Sus scrofa: one gene and its partners. The protein of the gene in region 7 purifies or fractionates together with the protein of the main gene of each other region. This does not show direct contact. Links are inferred from orthologs where the notes say so. Each region holds a gene or a part of one and is shown on either strand. Other genes may lie near its edges.

Evidence for each region.
Region 1: the proteins of HSF1 (region 7) and HNRNPA2B1 purify together in Homo sapiens (affinity purification with mass spectrometry; 3 studies listed by BioGRID, with this or other methods). This does not show direct contact. The link is inferred for Sus scrofa from reciprocal best matches to the Homo sapiens genes HSF1 and HNRNPA2B1.
Region 2: the proteins of HSF1 (region 7) and SMARCA4 purify together in Homo sapiens (affinity purification with western blotting; 3 studies listed by BioGRID). This does not show direct contact. The link is inferred for Sus scrofa from reciprocal best matches to the Homo sapiens genes HSF1 and SMARCA4.
Region 3: the proteins of HSF1 (region 7) and HSPBP1 purify together in Homo sapiens (affinity purification with mass spectrometry; 5 studies listed by BioGRID and IntAct, counting the BioPlex papers as one, with this or other methods). This does not show direct contact. The link is inferred for Sus scrofa from reciprocal best matches to the Homo sapiens genes HSF1 and HSPBP1.
Region 4: the proteins of HSF1 (region 7) and PLK1 purify together in Homo sapiens (affinity purification with western blotting; 3 studies listed by BioGRID and IntAct, with this or other methods). This does not show direct contact. The link is inferred for Sus scrofa from reciprocal best matches to the Homo sapiens genes HSF1 and PLK1.
Region 5: the proteins of HSF1 (region 7) and PRPF8 purify together in Homo sapiens (affinity purification with mass spectrometry; 3 studies listed by BioGRID). This does not show direct contact. The link is inferred for Sus scrofa from reciprocal best matches to the Homo sapiens genes HSF1 and PRPF8.
Region 6: the proteins of HSF1 (region 7) and HSP90AB1 purify together in Homo sapiens (affinity purification with western blotting; 3 studies listed by BioGRID, with this or other methods). This does not show direct contact. The link is inferred for Sus scrofa from reciprocal best matches to the Homo sapiens genes HSF1 and HSP90AB1.

The regions. Positions count from the first base shown.
Region 1 is NC_010460.4:46,203,669-46,207,963, forward strand, and holds the start of HNRNPA2B1 (heterogeneous nuclear ribonucleoproteins A2/B1), read left to right. Parts: upstream 1-1,495; 5' UTR 1,496-1,947; coding exon 1,948-1,953; intron 1,954-4,295. UniProt on the Homo sapiens protein: Heterogeneous nuclear ribonucleoprotein (hnRNP) that associates with nascent pre-mRNAs, packaging them into hnRNP particles.
Region 2 is NC_010444.4:69,737,707-69,741,206, forward strand, and holds part of SMARCA4 (transcription activator BRG1), read left to right. Parts: intron 1-886; coding exon 887-1,013; intron 1,014-1,557; coding exon 1,558-1,731; intron 1,732-3,057; coding exon 3,058-3,231; intron 3,232-3,500. UniProt on the Homo sapiens protein: ATPase involved in transcriptional activation and repression of select genes by chromatin remodeling (alteration of DNA-nucleosome topology).
Region 3 is NC_010448.4:59,461,734-59,465,786, reverse strand, and holds the start of HSPBP1 (hsp70-binding protein 1), read left to right. Parts: upstream 1-1,253; 5' UTR 1,254-1,600; intron 1,601-1,927; exon of another isoform or gene 1,928-1,930; 5' UTR 1,931-2,023; coding exon 2,024-2,227; intron 2,228-4,053. UniProt on the Homo sapiens protein: Inhibits HSPA1A chaperone activity by changing the conformation of the ATP-binding domain of HSPA1A and interfering with ATP binding. Interferes with ubiquitination mediated by STUB1 and inhibits chaperone-assisted degradation of immature CFTR.
Region 4 is NC_010445.4:22,548,096-22,552,094, reverse strand, and holds the start of PLK1 (serine/threonine-protein kinase PLK1), read left to right. Parts: upstream 1-1,199; 5' UTR 1,200-2,657; coding exon 2,658-3,065; intron 3,066-3,779; coding exon 3,780-3,948; intron 3,949-3,999. UniProt on the Homo sapiens protein: Serine/threonine-protein kinase that performs several important functions throughout M phase of the cell cycle, including the regulation of centrosome maturation and spindle assembly, the removal of cohesins from chromosome arms, the inactivation of anaphase-promoting complex/cyclosome (APC/C) inhibitors, and the regulation of mitotic exit and cytokinesis.
Region 5 is NC_010454.4:47,881,787-47,885,286, reverse strand, and holds part of PRPF8 (pre-mRNA-processing-splicing factor 8), read left to right. Parts: coding exon 1-27; intron 28-174; coding exon 175-301; intron 302-419; coding exon 420-612; intron 613-1,121; coding exon 1,122-1,309; intron 1,310-1,438; coding exon 1,439-1,677; intron 1,678-1,900; coding exon 1,901-2,047; intron 2,048-2,234; coding exon 2,235-2,445; intron 2,446-3,108; coding exon 3,109-3,225; intron 3,226-3,231; exon of another isoform or gene 3,232-3,500. UniProt on the Homo sapiens protein: Plays a role in pre-mRNA splicing as core component of precatalytic, catalytic and postcatalytic spliceosomal complexes, both of the predominant U2-type spliceosome and the minor U12-type spliceosome.
Region 6 is NC_010449.5:39,246,774-39,250,979, forward strand, and holds the end of HSP90AB1 (heat shock protein HSP 90-beta), read left to right. Parts: coding exon 1-207; intron 208-881; coding exon 882-1,047; intron 1,048-1,499; coding exon 1,500-1,690; intron 1,691-1,797; coding exon 1,798-1,945; intron 1,946-2,072; coding exon 2,073-2,341; intron 2,342-2,879; coding exon 2,880-3,213; intron 3,214-3,328; coding exon 3,329-3,438; 3' UTR 3,439-3,706; downstream 3,707-4,206. UniProt on the Homo sapiens protein: Molecular chaperone that promotes the maturation, structural maintenance and proper regulation of specific target proteins involved for instance in cell cycle control and signal transduction. Undergoes a functional cycle linked to its ATPase activity.
Region 7 is NC_010446.5:483,666-487,723, reverse strand, and holds the start of HSF1 (heat shock factor protein 1), read left to right. Parts: upstream 1-1,258; 5' UTR 1,259-1,276; coding exon of another isoform or gene 1,277-1,421; coding exon 1,422-1,538; intron 1,539-4,058. Other genes in the region: ribosome biogenesis protein BOP1, read right to left, coding at 1-29, 1,022-1,111. UniProt on the Homo sapiens protein: Functions as a stress-inducible and DNA-binding transcription factor that plays a central role in the transcriptional activation of the heat shock response (HSR), leading to the expression of a large class of molecular chaperones, heat shock proteins (HSPs), that protect cells from cellular insult damage.

The DNA of each region.
Region 1 (4,295 bases), on a different chromosome or scaffold from region 7:
CAAATCACCTCTTTCCGGACGTTCAGCCGCTGCCCTTAAGCCCCAGCCCCACCCGGCTTAATAAGGCCTTCGAGCCCGGCCCCCGCCCCCCACACGCGAGCGCGGGCCGCATGGTCAGCGCATCCGCGGGGAGAAACAAAGGCCGCGGCGCGGGGGCTCAAGGGCACTGCGCCACGGGGCCCGCGCCTCCCCGACCCGAAGGCGGCCTCGTAACGGAGCGCCCGCCGCTGCCTCCGGACTTCGGGCCGCACGGATGCGGGAGAATGCACAGCCCTCCCTGGAGGCCCGAGTCGCCGACCGAGTCCGGGAGAGGGAGGAGGACCCCTCATGTAGCTCCGGGATGGGGGAGGGGAGGAAGAAACGCGCTTTGTCTACAAATAAGGCAGCTGTCGCCACAGTTCTCAACCTCATAACGAGCAGTCTCGTCCCCTCGACCAACTAGAGACACCGGCCCAGCACCAGGCCCACCGCGGGGTCTCCATTCGCCTGTTTCCTTCCCGCCAGCTCCGACTCGGGGTCGGGCCGGGAAGGATGGGAAGCGGGGAACTGGGGGGAGGGTCTCTGGGGCGCAAGTGGTATCTGAAGCAAGACCACGGAGTGAAAGGTAGGGGAAAATAAAGACACCGACTTCACCGCCTCAGAGCTGCTCCGGGTCCCAGGTCTGCGGCGTCCTCGGCCCTGCGCGCCTCTAGCTCCAGCCACATCCGAGGGGGAGGGGGCTGGGGAGCTGCGCGCGGGGCCGCGCCGCTGGGGGTGGGGGGGGTGCGGGGTGGCACCGCCCACGCCAGGCGGCCGCTAGGGGCGGGGGTGAGCGCGCGCCCCGCGGGGGGGAGGGGCCGCGCGCCGCGCTTTGCCCGCCGGGAGCCCGAGCCCGAGCCCGAGCCGAAGGGTGGGTGGGGGAAGGAGGGGGTGGTGACACCGGCACTCACCGTTCGGGGCGTAGCGGCTGGTGGTCCCCAAAGGGGAGGGAAAGAGAGGGAGGAGCGGGGACTGTGACCGGAGTCTCCTCGGCGGAGGCGTTCCTGCTTTGCAGCAGCTGCACTGGCGCCAAAACAGGACTCCGCCCACTTCCTAGTCCCTGGGGTTGGGTGCCTCCAAATGCTGGTGGTGGGTGTAAAACTTGGGTGGGAGGACTCAATTAGGAACTAAGAGTTAGATTACCCTGTCCAAAGACCTCCTGAACCCGAGAGGTTGACCCCAAAAGCGTTGTCCAAGGTTAGGTAGGTGAGGCGTGAAATGTAACTTGTTGACCACAAGTCGCTTCGGGTGTTTCCGGAAGAGGCCGAGTCTGTCCTCAATTCAGGGAGGAGGAGGGAAAGCGCTGTAGAGAAGGCTACAAAGATTTTTTTTTTTAGAGACGGGGGGCGGTGGGTATTGGGATTATCAAAGCGTTGCTCTAAGGACCACCTTCCGGGTTGAGGGGCTGGACCTGAAAGCTGAGGATTAAGCTCCTCCCCACAGTGTTAATTTCAAACTGCGCGACCGTTTCTCACCTGCCCTGCGCTAAAGCTGGGCGGGGGGCGGGGACTGGACTTAATTCCGAGAGAGAAATACGCAGGGCTCGAGCCTTCCGCAATTCACAGAGCCCTTTTACGCAAGTGACGTCAAGCACCACTGTTGGCTGCGAGGAGGGAGGGGCACGTACTTGGCGCAAGGAGGTCGTAGAGCGTTCCCGCCATTGGCGGCGGTTAGGGCGTTTACGCAACGGCCTGACGTAGGGCAGGACGCGTTAGTCGGGGGGAAGGTTCTAGAAAAGCGGCGGCAGCGGCTCTAGCGGCAGTAGCAGCAGCGCCGGGTCCCGAGTGGAGGTGCTCTTAGCGGTGTTGTTTCTCGAGCAGCGGCAGTTCTCACTACAGCGCCAGGACGAGTCCGGTTCGTGTTCGTCCGCGGAGATCTCTCTCATCTCGCTCGGCTGCGGGAAATCGGGCTGAAGCGACTGAGTCCGCGATGGAGGTAACGGGTTTGAAATCAATGAGTTGTTGGAAAGGGCATGGCGAGGCCGTTGGCGCCTTATTGGAAGTCGGCCACCCGCCTCCGTGGGAGAGCGGCAGCGAAATTGGGCCACTTCAGAAGCGGTTGGTCTCGGGGTACTTTTGAAGGGGGGTCGTTAGCGGAGGCCTGATCGTTCCGCACCTTCCCCACCCTCAGGCTCCCGGCGCCATTTCCCTTTGCTGGGGGTGGGGGATGGGGAACTTCCACATGGCGGACGCAAGCCGACTTCGGTGGAAGTGGGGCGCGGAGGCGGGAATTCTTACTCCCTTTTTACAGCACGCTGGTTTGGGGACCCTGGCGTCCGCGCGTTGGAGCGTTTCGGCGGGCTGCGGGTCCTCGCGGGCGAGGCTGCGGCTTCCCCTCCCCCCCTCGCGGGAACCGGATTTGGCGGCCGCCATTTTCGTTTCTCCTCTTTCTCGCAGCGTTTTCCTTGTAACTCTCTAAATTCAGCTAGTTTGAGTCTTTTATCAAAGAGTAGAGGTGGTTCGCCGGTTTTTTCTCCTTTTCGGGCCGTTTTCATGCCGTTTCGAGGTGGATTCTGAGGGTTTGGGAGCCTGGATCTTTAAAGTCCTGCGCACCTCATTAGAGGCTCGCTGCCTTCCCCTCGATGAAATGGCGCCATTGCGTTCAGGCGCCGCACCGCAGGGCGGGGGGAGGGGCGGCGGTCGCTCGGCTTCGGAGGTAAAACGATCTAGGGTGTCGGGCCCGGGTTTGAGGCGAGCCATACGTAGTACAAAGAAAACGTTCTGTTTTTCAGCCCTTGTTCCTTTGCGTAGCGGTTTTAGCTGGGTTTGCGGCGATTAGGAAGGCGGTTACATGGCAGGAAGCTTTAGAAATGAAAAACCGAAATTCGGAGCCATCAGGGTCCTGTAGGTTATGCGGGAGGTCGTGGGGAAGGTGGTCTTCGGGGGTTGGGGGGGGGCGGTGTGCCGAAGGTTCCGAATCCTTTTAATTTCCTGAAGGCTTCCCTTATGAGGAATTGTAGAAATTACTCGGCTTTTAAGTAAGATTTTTACTGGGAAATTTTTTACGTGGTAAGCTAGAAATTAAGATGAAAGTGCAATAAAAATGATTTTAGTTGTGCTCTGCTTAAAACGTGGCTCAGCCCTTCAGTACGTGTATTGCTGTATACCGAACTGTTTTAGGCTGGGCTACTATGTATTTGAACTTTGTCACTTGCTTTTCTCATTTATGTTTGCAATCATGGTTGATAACATTGATAAGCTTAAGGTCTGAAGCGAAGGGGGTCTACCTGGGTATTTTCTTTGACCCTAAGCACGCTTATAAAATAACTTTGTTTGTAATCAATAGTGGACAGCGGGTAAGTTTGGAAATGAGGTAAGTAATGAGTTTTTCCCTTTTGTTAGTGATATGTAAAAAATTTGTAGATGTGTTTTTAATTAGATTTATTTGGGTTTAAGGAGCATTTATTGAAAATACTTGGAATAAATAAAGAATCCGAATATCAATATGCCAAGTAACCATTATAACAGACGGTTCTTAAAGTGTCTCAAGAGCTAGTTTGATAATTTCTTTATAAATTTTTCAGAATCCTGAAAGGTTAATTCTACAGGAAAAAAACCGAATGTTTATTAGTATCATGCATGGATGGAGAGAGGAACCTCTTTAGAAATGTGGGTTGAGGGTGTAGTACGATTTGCTAGGAATAAAATACCTTGCTGTGTCAGAAAGTACTTTTGACTGTTTCTTTTTCATTATACATTCTGGACATTGTAACTTCGTTTCTGAGTATTTATAGTTTTTTAATTTAACCAACTGAAAACAGTATAATGACCCAATCTTAACTGATAATCCATAATACAGAGCTTTTAATGCAAAGTATTTGCTTGCTTGTTTGAGATTTCAAGCCTAGGCTCTGTTTCTTTTCCCAATGAAAATTCGAGGTGTTATGCTGTGTTGTTTGCTAGAAGCCTAAGTTAAACATCGTGAAGTGTAAAATAAATGGTAGTGCTACGCAACTACTGGATACAGTGTTCATTTAAATATCTTTATGGTTTTTGAAAAGTGGAATGATTGCAGTCTTGTTTCTACTTTTTAATAGCTCAGTAATAGTCCAGATTCTTTCTCTGTTAGTACTTTTAGGAACAGACAGACACTATTAAATCATTCTGTCTTGGTCAGAAGAGAGAATCTTAAAGATATGTTGGTGTATATGTTGAATACTTAAAGCTTTTTTTCTCTAGTGGAGACTTGGTATATGGGGAAAGAACTGTCTTTAACCAGGTTTTGGGGGGGTAAAAATTGAGTTTCATTAGAATCACCACTAGAGGGAGCAATGAAGG
Region 2 (3,500 bases), on a different chromosome or scaffold from region 7:
CCTGTTTCTCCATTATGACTTGTTCAGGGCTAGCCTCCCTTGGTAAATAAATATTGGCTCCATCAGAGGAGGGGGCTGTGCCTTGTGCACCATAAACTCCCCAGATGCACCAGGAAAGCTTTGCCAAATGACCGTCTCCAGAGTGCATCTCCAGCTGTGCTGTGCCCTGGAGCTCCAGCCCCTATACCCAGGCACCTCCCCATCTGGACGGCTTAAAGATGGCCTGTCCAGATGGTGGTACACCCACCCACTTTCCCCTCCTGTCTCTGTTCCCATGCACCTACCATCCTGTAGCTGAGTGGACCGTGGCCCCCGTGGCCCCTTGACCCTTGCTTGCCCTTCCTCATCCCTGATGTCCGCTTGGTGAACCCTTTCAGCTTCCTTACCCCCAGCGCCTTTCACCTTGCTGTCTGGTCTATGCCTCCTCCCTGCTCTCATCCTTACCTGTGTACTGTTTCCCATACAGGTTTTTTGAAGTCTCTTTTTACAGTTAGCAACCCTGGAGGGTGCTATGAAGGGTCTCCCCACTTCACACCTAAGGACACTGAGGCTCAGGGGCTAAGTAGATTCCCAGGGCTGGGATGGAGACACTGGCTGCCTGATTCCAGAGCCTGGCTCCCACTGCTGAAATGGCAGAAGCCTGCTGCGCCCTGTCAGGTTTCCTGTTTGCCGTGGCTCCCGAGACCTCTGCAGCTGCTGTCCTGTGTGTAGTCTGTGTTGTGTGGCCTCCTTTTCTTAGCCATGTCCTGTCTTGTGACCAGTAGCAGCCTCCTTCAAGGGTTGGATTCTTCTGAGGTTCTGGCTTTAAAGAAAAGGAAGAGGTGTGTTCCTTATAAACAAGTGAGACCTCCCATCACCTGCTCTTCTTTCTATCTTTGCACTCTAGGCTGCAGGCTCGCATCGCACACCGAATTCAGGAACTTGAAAACCTTCCCGGGTCCCTGGCCGGGGATTTGCGAACCAAAGCGACCATTGAGCTCAAGGCCCTCAGGCTCCTGAACTTCCAGAGGCAGGTGGGCGCAGGCGCAGCTGATGCTTTAGGAAAAGAGCCCTTTCTGTCAATGTTACTGCTTCAGGTCTTTAAATGCACCCTGACCATTAAAAGCCTCAGTGCTCACCCACATTCATTAGGTCACTGTCCCCCCCCTTCCTCTGCACATCCTGCCCAGTGGAGGAACTGCTCAGTGAAGGCACAGGCTGAATAGACGTGGGTCTTCCTTAAGGCGGCAGTGACCAGCTTGAAGCAGGGAACTTAGATGGGTCTATTGCTGAGGGTCCTTTCCTTTTGAACAACCAATAAGAAATTTTGTTTGATTGTGGTTGAGGGAGGGTAGAACTGGAGACCTGAGGTGTGAGAGTGTTCTCTGCCGGGTGTCCAGAAGCAGCCATCTCCCAACCCGAGGGCCTCACCATGTGTCCTCCCCGTGCACACATTTGTGCTCATGGGTCCTTCTGGGAGCGGGAGCCTTCTGCCCAGCTTGCCATGTGGAATTGTGCATGTCATTCAGATGTCGCGGAGTTGTACCCGTTACCAGTTTCTCCTCTTCCTTCCTGAAGCTGCGGCAGGAGGTGGTAGTGTGCATGCGGAGGGACACAGCCCTCGAGACGGCCCTCAATGCCAAGGCCTACAAGCGTAGCAAGCGGCAGTCCCTGCGCGAGGCCCGCATCACCGAGAAGCTGGAGAAGCAGCAAAAGATTGAGCAGGAGCGAAAGCGCCGGCAGAAGCACCAGGTAGGTCCCTGCAGCTGCGCGTTAGCCTGCCCACATGTCCAGGGTGTCAGCTTGTAAGCTGCTGAGCCTTGGTTTATCTGTCAACACACTGTCTGTGTCTCTTTTCCGTTTGTTATGTCAGTATTCTGAGCATTAAAAATACATCAGGGGACAAAGCCAAATAGTAGAATCAGATGCGTGTATAACATGTTGGAAGTTAATAGGGTGTAAGGAAGCATGAAGTGAGGCTAGAGCGTGATGGAGGATGGTCCGTCTGGGAGGTCCTCCCTGAGCAGGTGAGCTCTGAGGCCCAAGGGAGGGAGCCACCAGATGTGTGTGTTTCCAGATAGAGGGGAAGGTGCAAAGGCCCTGGGGCTGGTTGTGTCCCACTGCTCTGTGAAAAGCAAGGATCCAGTGTAGTCAGTGGAGTGAGCAAGGAGGCGAGCAGGAGGTGGGGAGAAGGGGGAGGTGATGGGCAGAGCATGCAAGGCTTCCATGGGGCGAGGGGATGACTTGGGCTTTCACTCTGAATGAGATGAGAGCCCTGGAGGGTCCTAAGCAGAGGGAGTGATCTGGCAGAGGTTGTTACAACATCAGTAAAGGAAACCAGAATCTCTCCTCAAATAGGATTTGGGTTGATTTTGTTGATATATGTTTTATGAAGTTTTCTCCTATCAGTATCTATTACTGATACGGTTTATGATAACAAAAAAGTCAGTGCTCAGTGTTAGCCTCTGTTAACATTTTGGTATATATCATTCCAATCTTCTTTTTTCTTACATATAGTAATCACAAGTTAAGCAGCCACTTTTTAAAACAACATACACATGTTGACCTGTTTAGAGTATTGTTGAAGCATGATTTTAGTGTCTACATTGTAGTCCTTCTCAGTATGTCCAGCATCCAGTAATTTATGAAACCATTTCCTACTGGGGGACATGCAGTATATTTTCAGCTTTTCAATATTAAAAATAACATTGGGATAGACTTTCTTATACTTGAATTTGGGGGCCAGTCTCTGCTCTTTTCCTTGAAATAAATCCCTAGCAGTGGAGTGATTTGGCTGGCAGGCAGTTGTGTTTGGAAGCACTTGGCAGACAGTGCCAGGTGGTCCCAGCCCAGTGGAAGCCCTGTGGACTACCCCATCTACTGTGCACGAGGGAAGGCCCTTCACGCCACAGGCCGGCATGGAGTTTTATCCCGACGCAGAGAATGCTGGACTTCATGGGCATAGGGTCGATGTGTTGTTTAGATTGTGCCCTCTGGGTTTTCACCAAGCTACCTTTGATGTTCGATGCAGCGACTCCTGTCCTGTAGTCAGTCTGCTCTATTGTGTGCTTCCTACAGGAATACCTCAACAGCATTCTTCAGCATGCCAAGGATTTCAAAGAATATCACAGATCAGTCACAGGCAAAATCCAGAAACTCACAAAGGCGGTGGCCACTTACCACGCCAACACAGAGCGGGAACAGAAGAAGGAAAACGAAAGAATCGAGAAGGAGAGAATGCGGAGGCTCATGGTACAATTGGCCTTTGTGACCCGGGTTCCTTTGTGTGTGTGTCTCTCTCTCACAAGCATGGGGATTGACTGCCCAGGATTTCGCTGGGGTATTTTGCTGCTCAGAGTTAGAAGTGGGACAGAGGAAGAGAGGGCTTGGGTTTGGGAGTCCGAAGGACCTGTCACCAGACCTTTGCCGGGCCACTCCAGCCGTCAGTGACCACAGGTTTGCTGGATGCTCTGTGCTCTCTGGAAATTGGAGGTGGCAGCCCCTTCTGATGGAAGAGCCAC
Region 3 (4,053 bases), on a different chromosome or scaffold from region 7:
TAATTTCTAGAACATGCAAATATGTTGCCTTACATATTCATAGCAAAAGGGACGTGGCAGGTGTGACTGAGTTGAAAGTCTTAGATGGGAGAGCATCCTGGTTCCTTGGGTGGGTCCTACATGTCATCCCAAGAGTTCTTATCATGGGGAGGCAGGAGGATCAGAGGCAGAGGAGGAGATGGGACAGGGAAAGAAACAAGCTGAAATGCTGCGACCACAATCCAAGGAATGTGGGCAGCCTCTAAAAGCTGGAAAAAGCAAGGAAACAGAGGGTCCCTGGAGCCCCCAGGAGGAACACAATCCCCCTGATACCTTGGTTTTTAACTCAGTGAGACTCATTTGGGGCTTCTGACCTCCAGAACTGTAAGCTAATAAATCTGCGTTGTTGTAAGCCACCAAGTTTTTGGTAATTTGTTAAGAGCAACAATAGGAAAGGGATACAATAAAGTACACAGGGGCCTAGACCCACGTCAGATAGCTAGGCTTCTCAGTGCTACAAACCACAACAAACAACACACACACACAGCTTGTACACTGGTCTTTCCATCTCTGTCCAAAAGAGCACCTGGCATGTTGCAGACCTAGCCAAGGGCTCAATATACCTGTGACCGTAGGTCACAAGATAAGTACAGCCTTTCCTCGAGGGGAAGGGTCTCTTACGGAAGACCACAACTAGGATTCGCTTAAGATCACCCCAAAGGAAACACCTCCAAAGGCCAGGCACATTCCCAGACCTGAGCCCCAAATCTGGTGCAGGGAGGCCTCAAGCGGCCTAAACCACCTTGCGTGGGCATTTACTTCAGGCTTCAACGATCCCCTCCTCTGCACCTGGGCAGGACCCAGAGAAGATTCCACCAGGCAGATGTTGGGTAATAAGCACCGGCACAGGTAGTGCTGCAGTGTGGAGAATGCCTCCTTTGACGAATGGGGAAACTGAGGCCAGGAGACGGGTGGGGTTGGGTGCCTGGGTCAGGTTATTAGTGGTGCGACCCCAGGGCTCCAGTAAAAGACGTGGTGGGGTCCTAGATGGAAGAGAAAAGCCCTTGCTGATGCGGGGCACGCTCAGCGAGAATGGGGCGGGGCCAAGAAGTGGGCGGGGCTTGACGGGGGAACGGCCGGCAAACCGGCACGGGGGCGGGGCTCACCTGGGAGAGGCCGAAAGGCCTGGAACAGGGGCGGAGCCTGAAGCGGGCGGAGAGGGACCAGTTTAGAACTCGGGCTGGGTGTGGACGCGTTTGGGCCTAGGCAGAGCCAGGCCGGGGGGCGGGGCCTACACTAGGGCAGGGGCTTGCAATGAGCATGGGGAGGTGGGGCTCGCTAAGGGCGGGATCCGGGCCGGGGGCGGGCCTTAGGCCAGAGCGGGAGCACGAGGGGCGCGGCCTAGGTGAGGGGCTGGGCGGAGCGCAGTATCCCGCCAGTTAGGAAGGACTTCGGAGCTGGGCGAGGCCTCCTCACGCCTAGTTAAGGCCCTAAGTGGGGTGTCTGCGCCGGGAACTTCCGGGCGAGATTTGCGTATTTCCTGTCAATATGGCGGCGCCCATTGTAGTCAGGTGCGGGCGACTCTGTCTTTAGTAGCGGCGGCGACACGAGGCCCGGGGAGGTGAGGTCCGCCCCGCTCTGGCTCCCCTCTTTCGGAGAAGAGGGAGGAGACTTGTTGCCAAGAAAACCAAAGGGAGGCCTGGTTGCTATGAGGGCTGGGCAGTGGGGTTGCTAAGAGACGGGAACGCCTGCGGTGAAGATGGGGGAGGGGGTTGCTAGAGAGAGTGGGTGGGGCCTGTTGCTAGGGACGAAGGAGGGGCTTGTGACTTTGGGGAAGGGTCTCGCCGGTGTGAAGGAAGGAATGGGGGCTGTGGTTAAAGGGCATGTGGACAGAGTGGTTTGGGGTCGCGGAGGGCCGCCGAGCTCCCCTAAAACGCCACCTTCTCAGCAGACCTCCAGGAGTCGACCGGTCAGGAAGCCCGCGCTACCTCAGCGGTGACCATCCCCTACCCCAGCACATTCGTCCCTTCTTCGCAAACAGCCCATGGCGGACCAAGGCTCTGGGGGCAGCCGCCTTCCCCTGGCGCTGCCCCCAGCCTCTCAGGGTTGCTCGTCAGGGGGCAGCGGCTCCTCTGCTGGGGGCTCGGGCAACCCCCCACCCCCGCGAAACCTCCAAGGTCTGCTGCAGATGGCCATCACGGCGGGCTCTGAAGAGCCAGACCCACCTCCAGAACCCATGAGTGAGGAGGTAAAGGGGGGGGACCCAAGAAGCCGGGGTGAGGGGTGTGCGGACCGAGATATCTTGGGGAGGGAGTCCCGAGAGGGTCGGGAGGCCAGGTGTGAAGGCAGAGTAGCCTCCTTGTGCTTGATGGGGTTATTGTAGACTGAAGGTCTGATCCCTGGATCCCTGCACTGTGCAGGGAGGCAGAGTAGCCTCGTGGTAAAAAGAAGAGGCAAGGGTTCCGCAGACAGACCTGGATTCAGCATTTTATGGCTGTGTGACCTTGGGTATGTCCCTTCATCTTTCTGAGCCCCAAGTTCTTTATTTGCAAGTTGATGCTGACAGTTAGAATACCAGTGGTACTTCACTGAGTAGTTCCGAAGTTCCAGTTGAAGCAGGGCTGCATGCAGTGCCAGGCACATAGGCAGTGCTCCTGGAGGCAGCAGGATAGTCTCATTAAGAGCACAGGTTGTGGGAGTTCCTGCTGTGGTGAGGTGGGTTAAGAATCTGACTGCAGCAGCTCAGGTCGCTGGTTAAAGGATCTGGTGTTGCCACAGGCATAGGTCACAGCTGTGGCCATGATTCAGTTCCAGGCCTGGGACTTCCATATGCTGCGAGTACCACCATTAAAAAACCAAACCAAACCAAAGAACAGAACACAGGCTCTGTGGACAGTACGCTTAGGTTTGACTTAAGGCTCTGTGGATGGCTGACTGTGTGACCTTGGGCAAGTCACACCTTTCTGTGCCCCCATTTTCTCATCTGTGAAGGGGGGGTGACAATAATACTTACCTTGGAGGGTTGTTTTGGAGACTAATAGCTGTATTTGTCATACATATTATTTAGTTGTTGCTGACAGTTACAGTGTACGAGACATTGTGCTCATCCAGGTACATCCACGATGTCAATGAATCCTTAGGACTGTGTGGTAGGAAACAGGCACAGAAAGATTAACATCTTGCCCAGTTGATCCAGAACTGTGACTACAGAGCCTTCGTATGAGCACTTAACATGCAGTCTGGCCAAAAAAAAAAAAAAGTCAGTGGCCCATTTCTTAGCTCTTATCTCATTTAACCTGCTAACAGCATTTGATTGCTAACCCCTCTCCTTGATCTCACTCTCTGTCTCTTTTTGGTTTTTTTTTGGCTGCATCTGTGGCATGTGACAGTTTCTGGGCCAGGGATTGGAGGAACCTGAGCCACAGCAGTGACAACACCAGATCCTTAACCCACTGAGCCACCAGGAAACTCCACGATCTCTTTCTTCCTTATGCTACTAGGACATTGAGATGTACTGTGTTTTTTTGTTTTTTTTTTTTTCTTTTTTTTTGTTTTTGTTTTTGTCTTTTTGTCTTTTCAGGGCCACACCCGTGGCACATGGAGGTGCCCAGGCTAGGGGTCTCAGAGCTGTAGCCACCAGCCTATGCCAGAGCCACAGCAATGCTGTGTCCGAGCCGTGTCTGCGACCTACACCACAGCTCACGGCAATGCCGGATCCTTAACCCACGGAGCGAGACCAGGGATCGAACCCGCAACCTCATGGTTTCTAGTCGGATTCATTTTCTCTGCGCCATGACGGCAACTCCGAGGTGTATGGGTTTTCATCCCACCCTTTGGCCCTTCTTCCCCATCCTCTGTTAGCGTGTCCTCACTCCCCAGCCTCTTTTCGCTGGAGCTCTCACAGGACTCTCATTTACGCTTACTTCCTGTGTGACCTCCTGTCGGATTGAGGCTTTACTCTGATGACTCTCAAGTGTGTATCTCCACACCAGTGGTTCTCTCCTGAAAGTGGTTTTAACCACATTTAGCAATGTGTGGAGACATTCTTGGTTGTCGTCCATTGGGTAGGGGAAG
Region 4 (3,999 bases), on a different chromosome or scaffold from region 7:
CTAATGATTATAATTTTGCTCCAAGGAACACTTGGCCAAGGGCCGAGGGGGGTGGACTGTGCAGAAGAGAGCTACTAAAGCAGGCCTGAGACTGCTCTCCTTAGAAAGACTTGCTCCGTGGTTGGCCCTTGGCTGGCATTTCAGTTCTTGGATTTCAGGAAGGTTCTCACCATTTCCTTAATGATAAAGAGTCGCTCACTGGGCCTACACTGTGCAAACAATGTGGTTTATGCTGTATACCTGCGTTCCCTCCAGGAATCTGGAATTTGGGTGTATGCTAGCAGAGGGCGCCCCCAGAAAAGCCCTAGGAGCTGAGTCTCTAATAAGCTTTCCTGGTAGATGACAGTTCATGCATGTCATCACACTCATTGCTGGAGGAATCAAGTGTGTCCTGTGTGACTCCACTGGGAGAAGACTGTGGGAAGGTGGGGCCTGGTTGCCTCTGGATTTTGTCCCATGCGCTTCTTCCCTTTTGATTTCGCTTCGTAGCCTTTCGCTGCAATAAACCTTAGCCGTCTGTGAGTAGGACTCTATGCTGAGCCCTGGGAATCTCTTAGTGAATCATCAAACTGGGGGTGGTCTTGGGGAGCCCCAACACAGAGCAAAGAGAGACTTCTGGCGTGTTGGTAGTATTCTCTTTCTCAGTCTGGGTGCTGTTTACATGGGGTGTGTTCAGTTTGTGAAAATTCACTGAGCTGTACAGTTAAGATATGTATACTTTTCTGGCAGAGGGAGTCAACTTTATAAAAAGATAAAATGGATATTACACATCACAGGGGTTAAAAAAGAATAACTTAATTAAAAAAACTTATTTAGTAAACATTTTATTTTTTTAAAAGTTTTTTATGATAGTTGATTTACCGTGTTCTGTCAATTTCTGCTGTACAGTGACCCAGTTATACATATGCATATTCTTTTTTTCATATTATTTTCTATCATGTTCTATGACAAGGGATTGTATAGAGTTCCCTGTGCTATACAGCAGGACCTCATTGCTTATCCATTCTAAATGTAATAGTTTATTTAGCAAACTTTTTTTTTTTTTTGCTTTTTTGCTTTTTAGGGCTGCACCTGTGGTACATGGAAGTTCCCAGGCTAGGGGTCAAATGGGAACTGCAGCCACTGGCCTACGCCATAGCCACGTGGGATCTGAGCCAGATGTGCAACCTACACCACAGTTCACAGCAATCTTTAACTCACTGAGAGAGGCCAGAGATCCAATCTGGGTCCTCATGGATGCTAGTCAGGTTCATAACCCACCGAGCCACAATGGAAGCTCCCTATTCAGCAAACATTTTAATCACTCCTTTTTATTAGGCACTATGCTGGGAGCTTGGGACATGGGGTAGGAATGATGTCATCATGCCACTTTGTTTATTGGGAGTCAGGTAAAGAGATACTTGTAATTCGGTTGATTTTTGCTGAGTTCTAGCACAGACATCATAGGATGTCTAACTATTACCAAAGACTACTAACCTGGGTAATCGGCTATTGCAGGGTTTCCGCTCAAACATCTACAGAAGCCAGACAGGCAAATGGGCAAAGGGGTAGCTGGGAACTGTGGCAAACTGGAAAGGTATGTAGGCATAGAGTTGCCACAGCAAGTAGTTTTCCTTAAGAAAAAGCCACAAAACTGATTTTTTTATGTGCGCTCTCTGTATTTTTGAACCTGTAAATGGATCCAAAAATTTAACAGCGGGAGACCAAACAAAACACCTCTGCAGACCAAATTTGGCCTTGGTCTACCAGTTTGCCAGGCATTCCGCCAACCAGCCACACAGTCCCTCTTACCAAACAATTGAAGGTCCACTATTTTAGGCGCTGGGAGACAGCAGTGAGCCAGCCAGCCGACTTTCTTGCAGAATAGCGGGGTGGGGGCTCTGGTTCTGTGCTTCTCAAACTTCCCTAAGTGTAGGACTCACTGGGAGGCCTGCGGTGAGGCCTGAAGCTTTGCCTTTCTAACAAGCTCCCAGGTGGTGATAATGCTGGTGGTTCCTGCACCATACTTTGAGTAGCCTTGAGCTGTAACCCAGAGGCTCGGGAGCAGCTGTTATTTGAAGGAGGGAAGTAGGGGGTTTGTCTTGAAGGTCACATTTGCCTGGCAAGCATCCTCTTTTTACTTAGATTTTAGTTTACTGCAGGGACTTGGAAGAGAGTTGATGACGTCGAAGGCGGGTGTTAAGGCTCTCCCAGCTACCTCTCGGCGCTGCCGGGTCTCCGTTCTCAGTTTATAAGCTCGAAGGCGGGGCAGGGGTGAAGGAAGGTGGTGGGAAAAACTTCCTGGGGGAGGTGCACGTGGACTGCCCGACCTTCCCCAGCCGCCGAGAAAGGGAGAAACCCCGAACTCCCCCTCTCCTGGGACTGGGTCTCAGCATCCCCACGCCGGGTCTGGTTTCCCAGGCATCCCACGTGTCCGCGAGTCCCTGTCAATCAAGCTTCTCCTCCCCGGGCTGGGCACGGGTTTAAAGGAGGCTGCTGCGCAGAGAGCTCCCATAGTGCCGCGCGGCGGGCGGGTTTGGATTTTAAATCCCCGCGGCCAATCAGTAGCGCGTAGGCTTTTGTAACGTTCCCGGCGCCGCGTTTGAATTCGAGGAGGGGCAGAGCGGTGCCAAGCCTCGGCCCAGACCCTGCTAGGTCCGCTGAGCAACTCCGGGGACATGAGTGCGGCGGCAACTACAGGGAAGCTGGCGCGGGCACCGGCTGACCCAGGAAAAGCCGGGGGCCCCGGAGTTGCAGCTCCCGGGGCCCCGGCGGCCGCTCCGCCGGCGAAAGAGATCCCGGAGGTCCTAGTGGACCCGCGCAGCCGGCGGCGCTATCTCCGCGGGCGCTTTCTGGGGAAGGGCGGCTTTGCCAAGTGCTTCGAGATCTCGGACGCGGACACGAAGGAGGTGTTCGCCGGCAAGATCGTGCCGAAGTCGCTGCTGCTCAAGCCGCACCAGAAGGAGAAGATGTCCATGGAGATATCCATTCACCGCAGCCTTGCCCACCAGCACGTCGTCGGCTTCCACGGCTTTTTCGAGGACAACGACTTCGTGTTCGTGGTGCTGGAGCTCTGCCGCCGGAGAGTGAGTGTCGCTGCTGGGAAACTGGAGCTGCCTGCAGGCTGGGGTTGGGGCGTCCGGACCCAGCTGCTGGGGAGGGGACCCCCCGGGACTCGGAGCTGCTGGAGAGGAGGTGCTGGGTGGGAATCTCGAGCTGGAAGTGGAGAAGGTCTCGAGTAGAGAGGGGGCTTGGCACTTGGGGCTGCTAGGGGAGGGGGGTTCGGGTTTAGTGGAGCCCGGGTCGCGTTGCCTCTAGGGAAGGCGGCTCAAGGACGCTAGGAGTTGGGCGGAGTTGGGGAGGCGCGGGTCGCGGGAGAGCCCTGCTAATGGTCTTCCGGAGTTGCTAGGTACGGGGTGCTCTGGACCTTCCGGAGTGGGGTTGGGTCAGGCACAGGGTAGTTGGAGCCAGACTTGGGGGCTTCCGGGGAGGAGAGGGGTCAGAAAAGGGATCTCTTGCTGCGGAAGAGGCCTGGCGAGGGGGTGGCGGGGGGGGGGGGGGGGCATACGGGGTACTCTTGAACTTCCTGAAGGGTTGAGAGAGGAGTCCCAGGTAAGGGAGCTGGTGGGAGAGAGGGCGCTCTGAACCGTTGTGGCCTGGCTTAGGGGAGAGTGGAGAGCATAGCTGTCCTGGAGAAGGACTGCTGGGTAGGGTCCTAGGCAGCTTTCACCTAATGATACTGCTTCCCTGCCTTGGGCCTGAGTACCCACTGCCCGTTCCTCCTTCCTCCCCTCGCCAAGTCTCTCCTGGAGCTGCACAAGCGGAGGAAAGCACTCACCGAGCCCGAGGCCCGCTACTATCTGCGGCAGATCGTCCTCGGCTGCCAGTACCTGCACCGAAACCGTGTTATTCACAGAGACCTCAAGCTGGGCAACCTCTTCCTGAACGAGGATCTGGAGGTGAAAATAGGTGAGGAGCTGGGCCTGCAAGGGCGTTTGACATTGCAGGAAGTGGGAATGA
Region 5 (3,500 bases), on a different chromosome or scaffold from region 7:
CTTGGAGCGGCTCAAGGAAGCTTACAGGTGAGGGGTAGACAGGTTCCTATGGGGAGGTGACAGGGAAGAATGACAGCATCATCAAGAGTCCAAAGAAAGAAGGCTTAGCATCAGTCCTTTCTGGGGTTGGCTTCCTCTTGATTTTCCCATTCACCTTTTCTTTTGCCTTGTCAGTGTGAAGTCCCGGTTAAACCAGTCTCAGAGGGAAGAGCTGGGTCTGATCGAGCAAGCTTATGACAACCCCCATGAGGCGTTGTCCCGCATCAAGCGTCACCTTCTCACACAGAGAGCCTTCAAAGAAGTGAGTGAGATGCCCTCGACATTTTGTTCTGGCTGCGTGATTCATCCCTGGCACCCAGTGTGGCAGGTTGTCTCAGGTGGTTGGTGGGTTGGTGTGAGCCAGCTTCTGTGTCTCGCAGGTAGGCATTGAGTTCATGGATCTCTATAGCCACCTGGTGCCAGTGTATGATGTGGAGCCCCTGGAGAAAATCACTGATGCCTACCTGGACCAGTACCTCTGGTACGAAGCTGACAAGCGCCGCCTTTTCCCGCCCTGGATCAAGCCTGCTGACACAGAACCGCCGCCTCTGCTTGTTTACAAGTGGTGCCAAGGTAAAACTTTTCTGGGATCGCACCTGAGAACGGGAGGCGCATTGAGTTCTGCTATCCAGGCAGCAGAATTAGCTTACTTTCTTGCTGCATAGTAGCAAGGAAATGGTATTGATGCTAAACTGAGCAAAGCTGACTCTCCTGGCAAGCCAGCGAATGAATGGAGTGGCATGCGATCGGATTACCGTAGGCACTGGTCCTGAAAGGGAATTTCTTTCTTTCTTTTTTTTTTTTTAAAGGGCTGCACTTGCGGCATATGGAAGTTCCCAGGCTAGGGGTCGAATCGGAGCTACAGCTGCCAGCCTACACCACAGCAACGCAGGATCAGAACCACGTCTGTGATGTACACCACAGCTAACAGCAACGCCAGTTCCTTAACCCACTGAACAGGGCCAGGGATCGAATCCACAGCCTCACGGTTACTAGTTGGATTTGTTTCTGTTTTGCCACAACGGGAACTCCCTGAAAGGGAATTTCTAACCTGCTGGAGCCCTGTCTTGCCCCCTCCTCAGGCATCAATAACCTGCAGGACGTGTGGGAGACAAGCGAGGGCGAGTGCAACGTCATGCTGGAGTCACGATTTGAGAAGATGTATGAGAAGATCGACCTGACCCTGCTGAACAGGCTGCTGCGCCTCATCGTAGACCACAACATCGCTGACTACATGACTGCCAAGAACAACGTCGTCATCAACTACAAGGTGTGTTCCGGGGTCGGGGTGGGGGTGTCCAGCCTGCCGAGCTGGGATTTGCTGAGGTGGGAAAGGAAGAGGCTGGGCCCCGGAGAAGCCTGGCACGCTGCCGTGGTTGAGTGTCCTCTTTCTTTCTAGGACATGAACCATACAAATTCGTATGGGATCATCAGAGGCCTGCAGTTTGCCTCGTTCATCGTGCAGTACTATGGCCTGGTGATGGATTTGCTTGTGTTGGGCTTGCACCGGGCCAGTGAGATGGCTGGGCCCCCTCAGATGCCAAACGACTTTCTCAGTTTCCAAGACATAGCTACTGAGGCTGCCCACCCCATCCGTCTCTTCTGCAGATACATCGATCGTATCCATATTTTTTTCAGGTGAGGGCTTGCCTGGTTTCTTATCCTTGCAGGGCACTGAGGCATGTGCCCAGCCTCTGGAAGTGGCTGTCCTGCCTTAGTTGGCTTGCTGCTGGGTTGGGGCTCTAAAATGGAAGGAAGTCTTCTGAGTGGGAAGGGGCGGGGTGGCCTCCCTCTAGGGAACTGTAGGTCGCATGAGATCCCAGTGTGCTTGGGCCTCAGCAGGGCGCATTGTCTGGTGCAGGTTCACGGCAGATGAGGCTCGGGACCTAATCCAGCGTTACCTGACGGAGCATCCTGACCCCAACAATGAGAACATCGTCGGCTACAATAACAAGAAGTGCTGGCCCCGAGATGCCCGCATGCGCCTCATGAAGCATGATGTTAACTTGTGAGTCTAAGTTGGGGCTCTGGGAGCGAGAAGGATGTCAGCCTGAGGGACCCGGAGGACAATTAGAGGGACTTTAGGAGGTGGTCTTCTGGGTAGGAGGATGTACTCTGTTGGGCTGTCGTCAGTCTGGCCTTTGCAGGGAAGTGCCTTCCAGGGGACTGGTGTGACCCATGTTCTCTGTGGGCAGGGGTCGGGCAGTGTTCTGGGACATCAAGAACCGTCTGCCACGCTCAGTGACTACAGTTCAGTGGGAGAACAGCTTCGTGTCGGTGTACAGTAAGGACAACCCCAACCTGCTGTTCAACATGTGCGGTTTTGAGTGCCGCATCCTGCCAAAATGCCGCACCAGCTATGAGGAGTTCACCCACAAGGACGGGGTCTGGAACCTACAGAATGAGGTAGGGCCTGGGCCAGGGGGCGGGGGAGCCGGGAGGAGCATTACCACCTCCCGGTAGGTGGGAGTGAGGAACTGCACACACTTTTTCCTTTTTTTTTTTTCATTTTTGGCTGCCCCATCACACATGGAGTTCCCAGGCCAGGGATCAGCTCTTATCCATAGTTGTGATCTGTAGCGCTGCTGTGGCAACACTGGATCCTTTAACCTACCGTACTGGGCTGGAGATTGAATCTGTGTCCTGGCACTGCAGAGATGCCGCTGGTCCTGTTGCACCACAGTGGGAACTCCCAAATACCTTTCCAGTGTCAGTCGGATGAGCCTGGTTGGGGGAGTAAGGGCTTAGTGATGGTCAGCATTGGTTCTTGGCGTTCCCACTGTGACTCTGCCGGTTAGAGACCTGACGTGGTCTCTCTGAGGATGCGGATTTGATTCCTGGCCTTGATCAGTGACTTAAGGATCCAGTGTTGAGCTGTGGTGTAGGTTGCAGATGAGGCTTCAGTCTGGCGTTGCTGTGGCTGTGGTGTAGGCCAGAAGCTGCAGCTCTGTTTCGACCCCTAGCCTAGGAACTTCCATATGCCATGGGTGTACCCCAAAAAGACAAAACAAAAAATTTCTTCTTCCTGTGGCAGTTCCAGAGATAGTTAACCTTGACCTTGTGGTTTAGGTTACTAAGGAGCGGACAGCTCAGTGTTTCCTGCGTGTGGATGATGAGTCAATGCAGCGCTTCCACAACCGTGTGCGTCAAATTCTGATGGCCTCTGGGTCCACCACCTTCACCAAGGTACGTAGTGCAGTCATGTTCTCTGTCCGTCTCACATCCCGTTTAGATCCTTGTGCTTTGCTCTCCTTTCTTGCCAGCTGTGCTCAGTGTAGTCTCCGTGCTTTATGTACAGCAGCAATTTGTTAACTGTGTGTGCTTTAAGTTTTTGCAAAGTTTTAAAAATAGCCTTGCTTTTAATGCTGTCTTCACGTTCCACCAATGGTACACATGAGTGTCTGGACTGATGCTCTCAGGAACATCAGTCACGCCAAAAAGAGAGGGAAATGCTAGGTTTT
Region 6 (4,206 bases), on a different chromosome or scaffold from region 7:
GAAGATGTGGGCTCAGATGAGGAGGATGATAGTGGCAAAGATAAGAAAAAGAAGACAAAAAAGATCAAGGAGAAGTATATTGATCAGGAAGAACTGAACAAGACCAAGCCCATCTGGACCAGGAACCCTGATGACATCACCCAGGAGGAATATGGAGAGTTCTACAAAAGCCTGACCAATGACTGGGAAGATCACCTGGCAGTCAAGGTAAGAAGCCTTGTTTGTTGGCGCAATAGGAAGAGTTGGTAATGGGCAAGTGGCACTTGCCCAACTGATTGGGAACTGGGAATGCCATGAGTTCACCTACTGATGGACCCTTCCAGGGCAGGGGAATGACATCTCCAGGGACTTCACTGTGTCTCTGGCAGCTTTGCCCATCTAGCATTCTGAATTGGCTATTTCCTCGTTAACACAAGGATTATGTACAGGTTGCACTATGTTGGATTCATTTAGGGCATTATTAGGGCTTCTCAACAGCTACCATAGAGTCTAGTCTATTCCTGGTGCTTAAGGGGGAAGGTCTTTTTTTCCAAATAGTTTTTTTTTTTTTTAAATAACTTAATTTTTTTGTTTTTTAAGGGCCGCACCCACGGCATATGGAGGTTCCCAGCCTAGGAGTCTAATCAGAGCTACAGCTGCCAGCCTACACCACAGCAACCCTAGATCCAAGCCACATCTGTGACCTATACCACAGCTCATGGCAACCCTCGGTCCTCGACCCACTGAGCAAGGCCAGGGATTGAACATGCGACCTTAGGGTTTCCTCATCAAATTCATTTCCGCTGCGCCACGACGGGAACTCCCCAAATAGTTTAATTTGGTGTTGGGACAAAAGCCACTCTTAAAATACACAGTTGGCTTATCTTGGATTTCTCTCACAGCACTTCTCTGTAGAAGGTCAGTTGGAATTCAGAGCATTGCTGTTCATCCCCCGTCGGGCTCCTTTTGACCTCTTTGAGAACAAAAAGAAAAAGAACAACATCAAACTTTACGTTCGCCGTGTGTTCATCATGGACAGCTGCGATGAGCTGATACCAGAGTACCTCAGTGAGTACCTTCTCTGCCTAATGTAGTTGGTCTCAGCTTTCTCAAAGGAACTGAAGCCTTGATTTTTTTTTTTTTTTTTTTTTTTTTTTTTCTTCTGGGCCACACCTGCAGGATATGGAGAGGTTCCCAGGCTAGGGGTCAAATCAGAGCTATAACTGCTAGCCCACACCACAGCCATAGTAACGCAGGGTCCGAGCTGAGTCTGCGACCTACACCACAGCTTACAGTAACGCCAGATCCTTAACCAACTGAGCGAGGCCAGCGATTGAACCTGCAACCTCATGGTTCCTAGTCAGATTCATTTCCACTGCGCCATGATGGGGAACTCTGATGAAGCCTTTGTTCTGAAGCTAAGGGTCCTCTGCCGTGTAACTGGTGCAGCTGGATGGCGGTGTATACTTTTTTGTTTTTGTAGGGGGGGTGTCTAACTGAGCATCCATGTTTGATTTCAGACTTCATCCGCGGTGTGGTTGACTCTGAAGACCTTCCCCTGAACATCTCCCGAGAAATGCTCCAGCAGAGCAAGATTTTGAAGGTCATTCGTAAAAACATTGTTAAGAAGTGCCTGGAGCTCTTCTCTGAGCTGGCAGAAGACAAGGAGAACTACAAGAAATTCTACGAGGCTTTCTCAAAAAATCTAAAGGTAAGCAGACAGCAAATGCTTGCTTTTTTAATGATGAAGATGGCTGTTTTTCATTCATGTAGGGGATAATTATTTTCTAGTAAGACTTTCCCTTTCCACCCTTAAAGCTTGGAATCCATGAGGACTCCACTAATCGGCGGCGCCTTTCTGAGCTGCTGCGCTACCATACCTCCCAGTCTGGCGATGAGATGACTTCTCTCTCAGAGTACGTCTCACGCATGAAGGAGACCCAGAAGTCCATCTACTATATCACTGGTGAGTGGAACGTAGGGCCTGACCACAAAGCCTCTCAGGTGTTAGGAGAAGGGGAGGACACAGGGATACCTGGGAGCTGGCTGGCTGGGGCATTCTGATCCTTGAGTCACATTTAATAATCCTATAGGTGAGAGCAAGGAGCAGGTTGCCAACTCTGCGTTTGTGGAGCGTGTGCGGAAGCGGGGTTTCGAGGTGGTGTACATGACAGAGCCCATCGACGAGTACTGTGTGCAACAGCTCAAGGAGTTTGATGGGAAGAGCCTGGTCTCAGTTACCAAGGAGGGCCTGGAGCTGCCTGAGGATGAGGAGGAGAAGAAAAAGATGGAGGAGAGCAAGGCCAAGTTTGAGAACCTCTGCAAACTCATGAAAGAGATCTTGGATAAGAAAGTAGAGAAGGTAAGCAGTGAACGGAGTAGTAAGTGCTTTCAGGGCTTTGCCCTCAGTTTCTGGTTGCTACACGATTAGTGGTTTGGCGCAGCCTTATTTGTTTAGAGCCATCCTATTTTATTCTCTTAACTGGGCAGATTTTTTTTTTCCCTCTCTTCAGGCCCCGCCCACAGCATACAAAAGTTCCCAGGCTAGGGGTCAAATAAGAGCTACAGCTGCTGGCCTATGCCACAGCAACTTTGGATCCAAGCCATGTCTGCGACCTACACCGCAGCTCACAGCAACACCAGATCCTTTCACCCACTGAGCAAGGCCAGGGTTTGAACCCAAATCCTCATGGACACCAGTCGAGTTTGTTCCCGCTGGTCCACAATGGGAACTTTTATTTTTGTTTTTTGTGTTCTTTTACTGGGAAAGTTTGTCATTGCTCTAAGACTTGGCAAAGATGAGGCTTTATTTTCCCAAGGATAGAACTTCAAAATACCGTTTTTTGCCTTGAGGTAGTTTTGATTTAAGGTAAACCAAAGATTTTTGTGGTTGTCCACAGGTGACCATCTCCAACAGGCTTGTGTCTTCACCCTGTTGCATTGTGACCAGCACCTATGGCTGGACAGCCAACATGGAGCGCATCATGAAAGCTCAGGCACTTCGGGACAACTCGACCATGGGCTACATGATGGCCAAAAAGCACCTGGAGATCAACCCTGACCACCCCATTGTGGAGACGCTGCGACAGAAGGCAGAGGCGGACAAGAATGACAAGGCTGTCAAGGACCTAGTGGTGCTGCTGTTTGAAACGGCACTGCTGTCTTCTGGCTTCTCGCTGGAAGATCCCCAGACCCATTCCAACCGCATCTACCGCATGATCAAGCTTGGCCTGGGTAAGTACCCTTGCGCAGTAGGTGTGGCGAGGAGTTGGAGAATTAGCCTGGTGGACACAGATTTGATGCTTTTGGGGCCAGATCTCAAGTGGCATTCTTTCTTCCCTCTTTCTAGGCATTGATGAGGACGAAGTGACAGCAGAGGAGCCCAGTGCTGCTGTTCCTGATGAGATCCCCCCGCTCGAGGGTGATGAGGATGCATCTCGCATGGAAGAAGTAGATTAGGAGTTGCTACCTGCAAACTTTGTTCCCTCTGTATAGTGTCCCCATTGGCTCCCCTGGCAGCAGCCCCCAGTGGCCCTAGCCCACCTGGTCTCCTCTGCTGATGTCTAGTGGTTTTATTTGTTTTTCTGTCTAAGGCAGGCTACAGGGGCCGCAAGCCCTAATAACCCTTCCCACATTTGACACTGGGTTTGGGTGTCGTGTACTGTGCTCGTTTATTTTGTTCTGAGATTAAAGTATGCAAAATAAAGAAGATGCAGTTTTATACAGTTCTGCGCTCTCGTAAGTATATACAACACTGCTTTTGGAGTTTCCCTGGCTTCTCACTCCCTAGTCTTGAGTACAGTCACATGGTACATGGGGGACATGGTTACTGCTAACTATGTGACAAGCGGTAGTTTTGAGCTGCCATCTGTACAACACTCAGTCCCCTTCCTAAAGGATATATAGATGGCCTTCCACTCACAACAATTTTTTGACTTTACTATGGTAGCATGAAAGCACACATGCAGTAGAAATTTTTTTTTTAAGGCTGCACCCCACAGCATGTGGAGGTTCCCAGGCTAGGGGGTCTAATCAGAGCTACACACATTGGCCTTTGCCACAGCCACCCCAGATCCATTGAGCGAGGCCAGGGATTGAGTCTGCAACCTCATGGTTCTTAGTCAGATTCTTTTCCACTGCACCATGATGGGAACTCAGGAGAAACTACTTTTCAGCTTTGATCTTTTCCTGGGCTGACAGTATGGCTAGCTACGAGAGGCGCAAGGG
Region 7 (4,058 bases):
CTGGGAGCCGGGGCGCCGGGGAGAGAGGGCTGCAAGGAGCACACTGTCGGTGACCAGCTCTGTGTGGCGCAGGACCAGAGCTGCTTCTGAGCAGACTTCTGCCCACCAGACACCACCCCGGCCCTAACTCCACCAGACAGGGTGCACGGTGGAACAAGAACCTGCAGACTCTTAGCAAGCATTCATTGGAAGGCAAAATTCTAGATTTCATTGTTTTTCAATAGTTCCTGAGTCTCTCGCCAAACTGGACAGCCTGCACGGAGCAGCTACCAAACAGCACTCAGCACACACTCTATCGTGCCTAACTAGCTACACAATTACAACGGCAAGTAAAAATGGCACAAATGTTTTGGGCACAAACACAAACAGCCGCTGATGAATACAGAGGCAAAAGCACTACAAGTGGGTGAGCATGGTGCCCAGAGCTGCCTGCCGGCCAGGGAGCACCACGAGCACTTGTCACAAGTGAAGGGGCAGCCTGATAAACCAGCAACGTGGAGTCCCAGCTGCGAGGCTCGACTGCACAAGCCTGCTATGGCTTTCTACCACCGAGATTTGATGAGATTTGATGACACCCCCACAGCGCGGCTGGGGTTCCGCTGGACAGGAAGAGCATGAGTCCAGCTAAAACGGGCCGTCCAGTGCAGCAGGCGCTGCTTTCTCATCCTCGTTTCCTCTTCTACAACGTCTAACGTGTCAGGAACATTTGGCTATACAAGCAGCTACTGCAGGCTCAAATCTTCTGCGCCCAGATGACAATTCAAAGGCCCAGGAAGACCGCTGCGCAGGACGCCGGCTCTCCTTCCTTATTCTCTCCGGCCCAGACCTTCTTCCGACCCACACAACCGCCAGCCAGCTCCCTGCCCAGGACGCCCCCGCAAGGCCGCCGGGGCGGAGGACAGGAGACCCCTCCCTCCTCGCATTCCCAGGCCCGCCGGGCGCTGGGCGGGATCGCTCCCCGGCCGGTGCCGCGGCCCAGCCCCGCCGCCCCCCCCCGCTCCCGCTCCCGCTCCCGCGTCACCTCCTCCGGCTCCCGCCCCGGCTCCAGCATCCGCTTCCCGGGCCGCGTCCCGGCCACCGCCACGCGCCGCGCGCCCTGAGGTCCCGCCATGCCGCCCGCCGGTCTGCCCTGCGCCGCCACTTCCGGCAGCGACGCGACCGCGTGGGCCTGGGGGCGGGCCCGCGGGGTCAGAGGGCGCCGGGCGGGACGGGGGCCGGTGTGCGTGCGCGCGCCGTGGGACGCGGGCGGCGCCGGCGGGAGCGCGCCCGTCGCAAGATGGCGGCGGCCATGCCAGGCCCCGGGGCCGTGTGTGCGCAGCGGGCGGCGGCGCGCGGCCCGGGCGGCAGGCGCGGCAGCGGCGCTAGCCCGGCCCTCAGCCCCTCCTCGCGGTCCCGCCTCCGCCTCTCCCACCTTGCCCGGTATGGATCTGCCCGTGGGCCCGGGCGCGGCGGGGCCCAGCAACGTCCCGGCCTTCCTGACCAAGCTCTGGACTCTCGTGAGCGACCCGGACACGGACGCGCTTATCTGCTGGAGCCCGGTGAGGGGCCGAGGGCGCCGGCCCGGGGCGGGGAGGCCGCGGCGCGGGGGCCCAGGACGGGCAGGCCCGGACCCCGCCTCGCAGGCCCGGTGTGGGGGTGGGGAGCAGGGGGTAGTGCGGGGAGAAGCGTCGCAGGCCCGCTGGAGGTCGCTCCTGTCCACGCCGCTCTCCCGCGTTGGGTAGGAAGGGCTTCTGCCTCCGTGGGCTTGCGCTTGCTGCCTGTGGGACGACTGCGGGACGCGTCTGTGCTTAGAACAGCCCCCGGCTTCGCTAGTGGACGCTGGGCCCCGGTGGCCCCAGAGTTCCAGTGGTGTGGTGGGCAGTTATTCAGGGTAAATCAAGTCTCGGCCCTGGAACTGGAGGGCGTTTCTCTAGTTCGAAAGGAGAGGGAGCGAAAACAGAAAGCACAACGTCATAAAGTTCAGGCTGGTCTCGAGCCCGGGTCCAGATCCCAGAGCTGCTTTCCCAAGAGCGACTCGTGTTTCTTGCTCTGTGCGCGACTTTATTCACGCCCTGTCTCCCGTTGCCTGGCAGCGGGCAGGTGATTTACATGGTCTGACTCCGCAGGCTGGACAACTCCAGTTTGCGGAGGTTGGACTTGGAGATGGACGTCCTGGCTGTGACGTCGAGGTGGGGCAGGTCGGAGCCACGGCTCGCGGCTGGCAGGGGGGTGGCCTAGGCCACCGTAGTCGTAGGCAGGCTCCGGGCGCCTCCAAACGTGCTTACTCTCCTGAGCGCCCAAACGCTGGATTTCTTGGACCCCACTGAGTTGTTGCCTGTCATCCTGCTGAGCCCTTGGAAAGGAAGAGCAGTCTGGGCTGAAAGGAGCCCAGAGCTGGAGGCCACGTTCTCTCGTTCCACTTGTCCCTTTGAGGAGACCAGAAACCGTGCTGCATTCCCTTGGGGACACTGTGTGTTGTCCCAGCAAATATCCATGTGGCGTTCTCCATCCCAGGCCCTGTTTCTTTAACGGTGGGAACCACCCCTTGTTCCAGGCCTTGAACTTTGCCGGCCAAATGAAATGACCCCATTTTTCTGTCTTTTTCCCTTCTCCCTCTTCTTGTCCCTTCCCCGTAACTCCCGTTTGGGGGAGGGCACCAGAGGTCCTTTGGGATGAACCTACTGTGGGGACATCCCGCCTCTCAGTCTGCTCCAGGCCAGGCGAAGCACAGCCAGCGTCAGCTTGCTCCCCAGGCCTCACGGCCTGTATTCCAGGCAAAGCCTGGAGCAGGAAAGCGGACATGGTCCAGCCCGTGATGGTCTCTACTCAAGGTGGCTGCGCCCCCAGGCATGGTCTCCCTGGGGACAAGCGGCCATGGAGCAAGAGCTTTTGATCCTCCTTAGTCTGTACACAGAGCGAGTAGGGTGTGCTTGGTGCAGGACGCAGTGGGGCTGGCCCTGAGAAAGGAGACCAGCCCCTGCCTGGGGCCGGCAGGGTGCCCACAGGACCCCCGGGCCTCTGTCTCAAAGTCCGCTTGGAGCCCTTTGCCGACTCGCAGCCTGGAGTCCTGCTGTCGGAGGCCCCGGACAGGTCTGACGCCTGTGCCCTTGGCCCTTCCCCTTTGTGCTGGAACTTTGCTCATTGTTCCACCAGGAGAAAACCTCTGCCTGTGGCCCAGGGAATGAGGGGGAGGAGGAGGTGCAGTGGTCGACTCTGTGGTCTGCGTGATGCATGACCACGGGCGGGTGCCAGCCCTGGGAGCTGGGGCCGGCCAGCGGGTCGCTGCTCCAGAGGCACGTGTTGGTTTGCCCGCCCTTCCAAAGCCTTGTCCCGTCAGATGCGCCCCGTGCGGCGCCACGGCTGAATAGGCAAGGGCTCCCGCGGGAGGGGACTTGGTGACCGGGAGTGTGGCCTTGGGAGTGCTACCACCACGCCCCCTGGGACATAATGGGAGTCAGACCCTTCTGGCCAAGACTGAGGGCCTCTTTCTCCCAGGAACCGGACCTTGCCAAGGCCACCAGCCCAGGTGGCCCAAGTGAGTGCCACACTCAGGGATCGCTTGAGAGGGGCTAGTGTCCAGGTGGAGCACGGTCTCCGTGGTCAGGTCCCCAGCTCCCTGTGAAACCCCTGGCCACTCCAAGCTGGCAAAGGACCATTTCCAGAGACCCCAGGACAGGCAGGGCCGCCCTCTCCCCTGCCCGGAGCCAGGCGGGCCCCACCAGCCTGCTGAGCTGGTCCTCCGTGCAGGAGCCCGCAGTTGCCCCCGTGCTGGCTTCGAGGGCCACTGCAGAGCCTGGAGGTTCCCGGGGTCCCTGCACCTGATGAGCGTGCGTGGCCGCCGAGCAGGCCTCTGCCTGCCGCAGCCAAACCTTTTCCACACGGAGCCTGTCGCGCCTCCCATTGCCCTGCACGAAGGTGAAGGTGGCCTTTTTACAGACGCGAAACCTGAGCCTCGGAGGTGACAGGAAACGCGAGGAAGACCCTGAAGTGCACAGGCCCTTTGCCCGCCTGCCCCACCGACCGCGCTCTGACCGCGCCGAGTGTCGAGTCTCCAGTCGGGCGTGGGGTCCAGCTCGGGC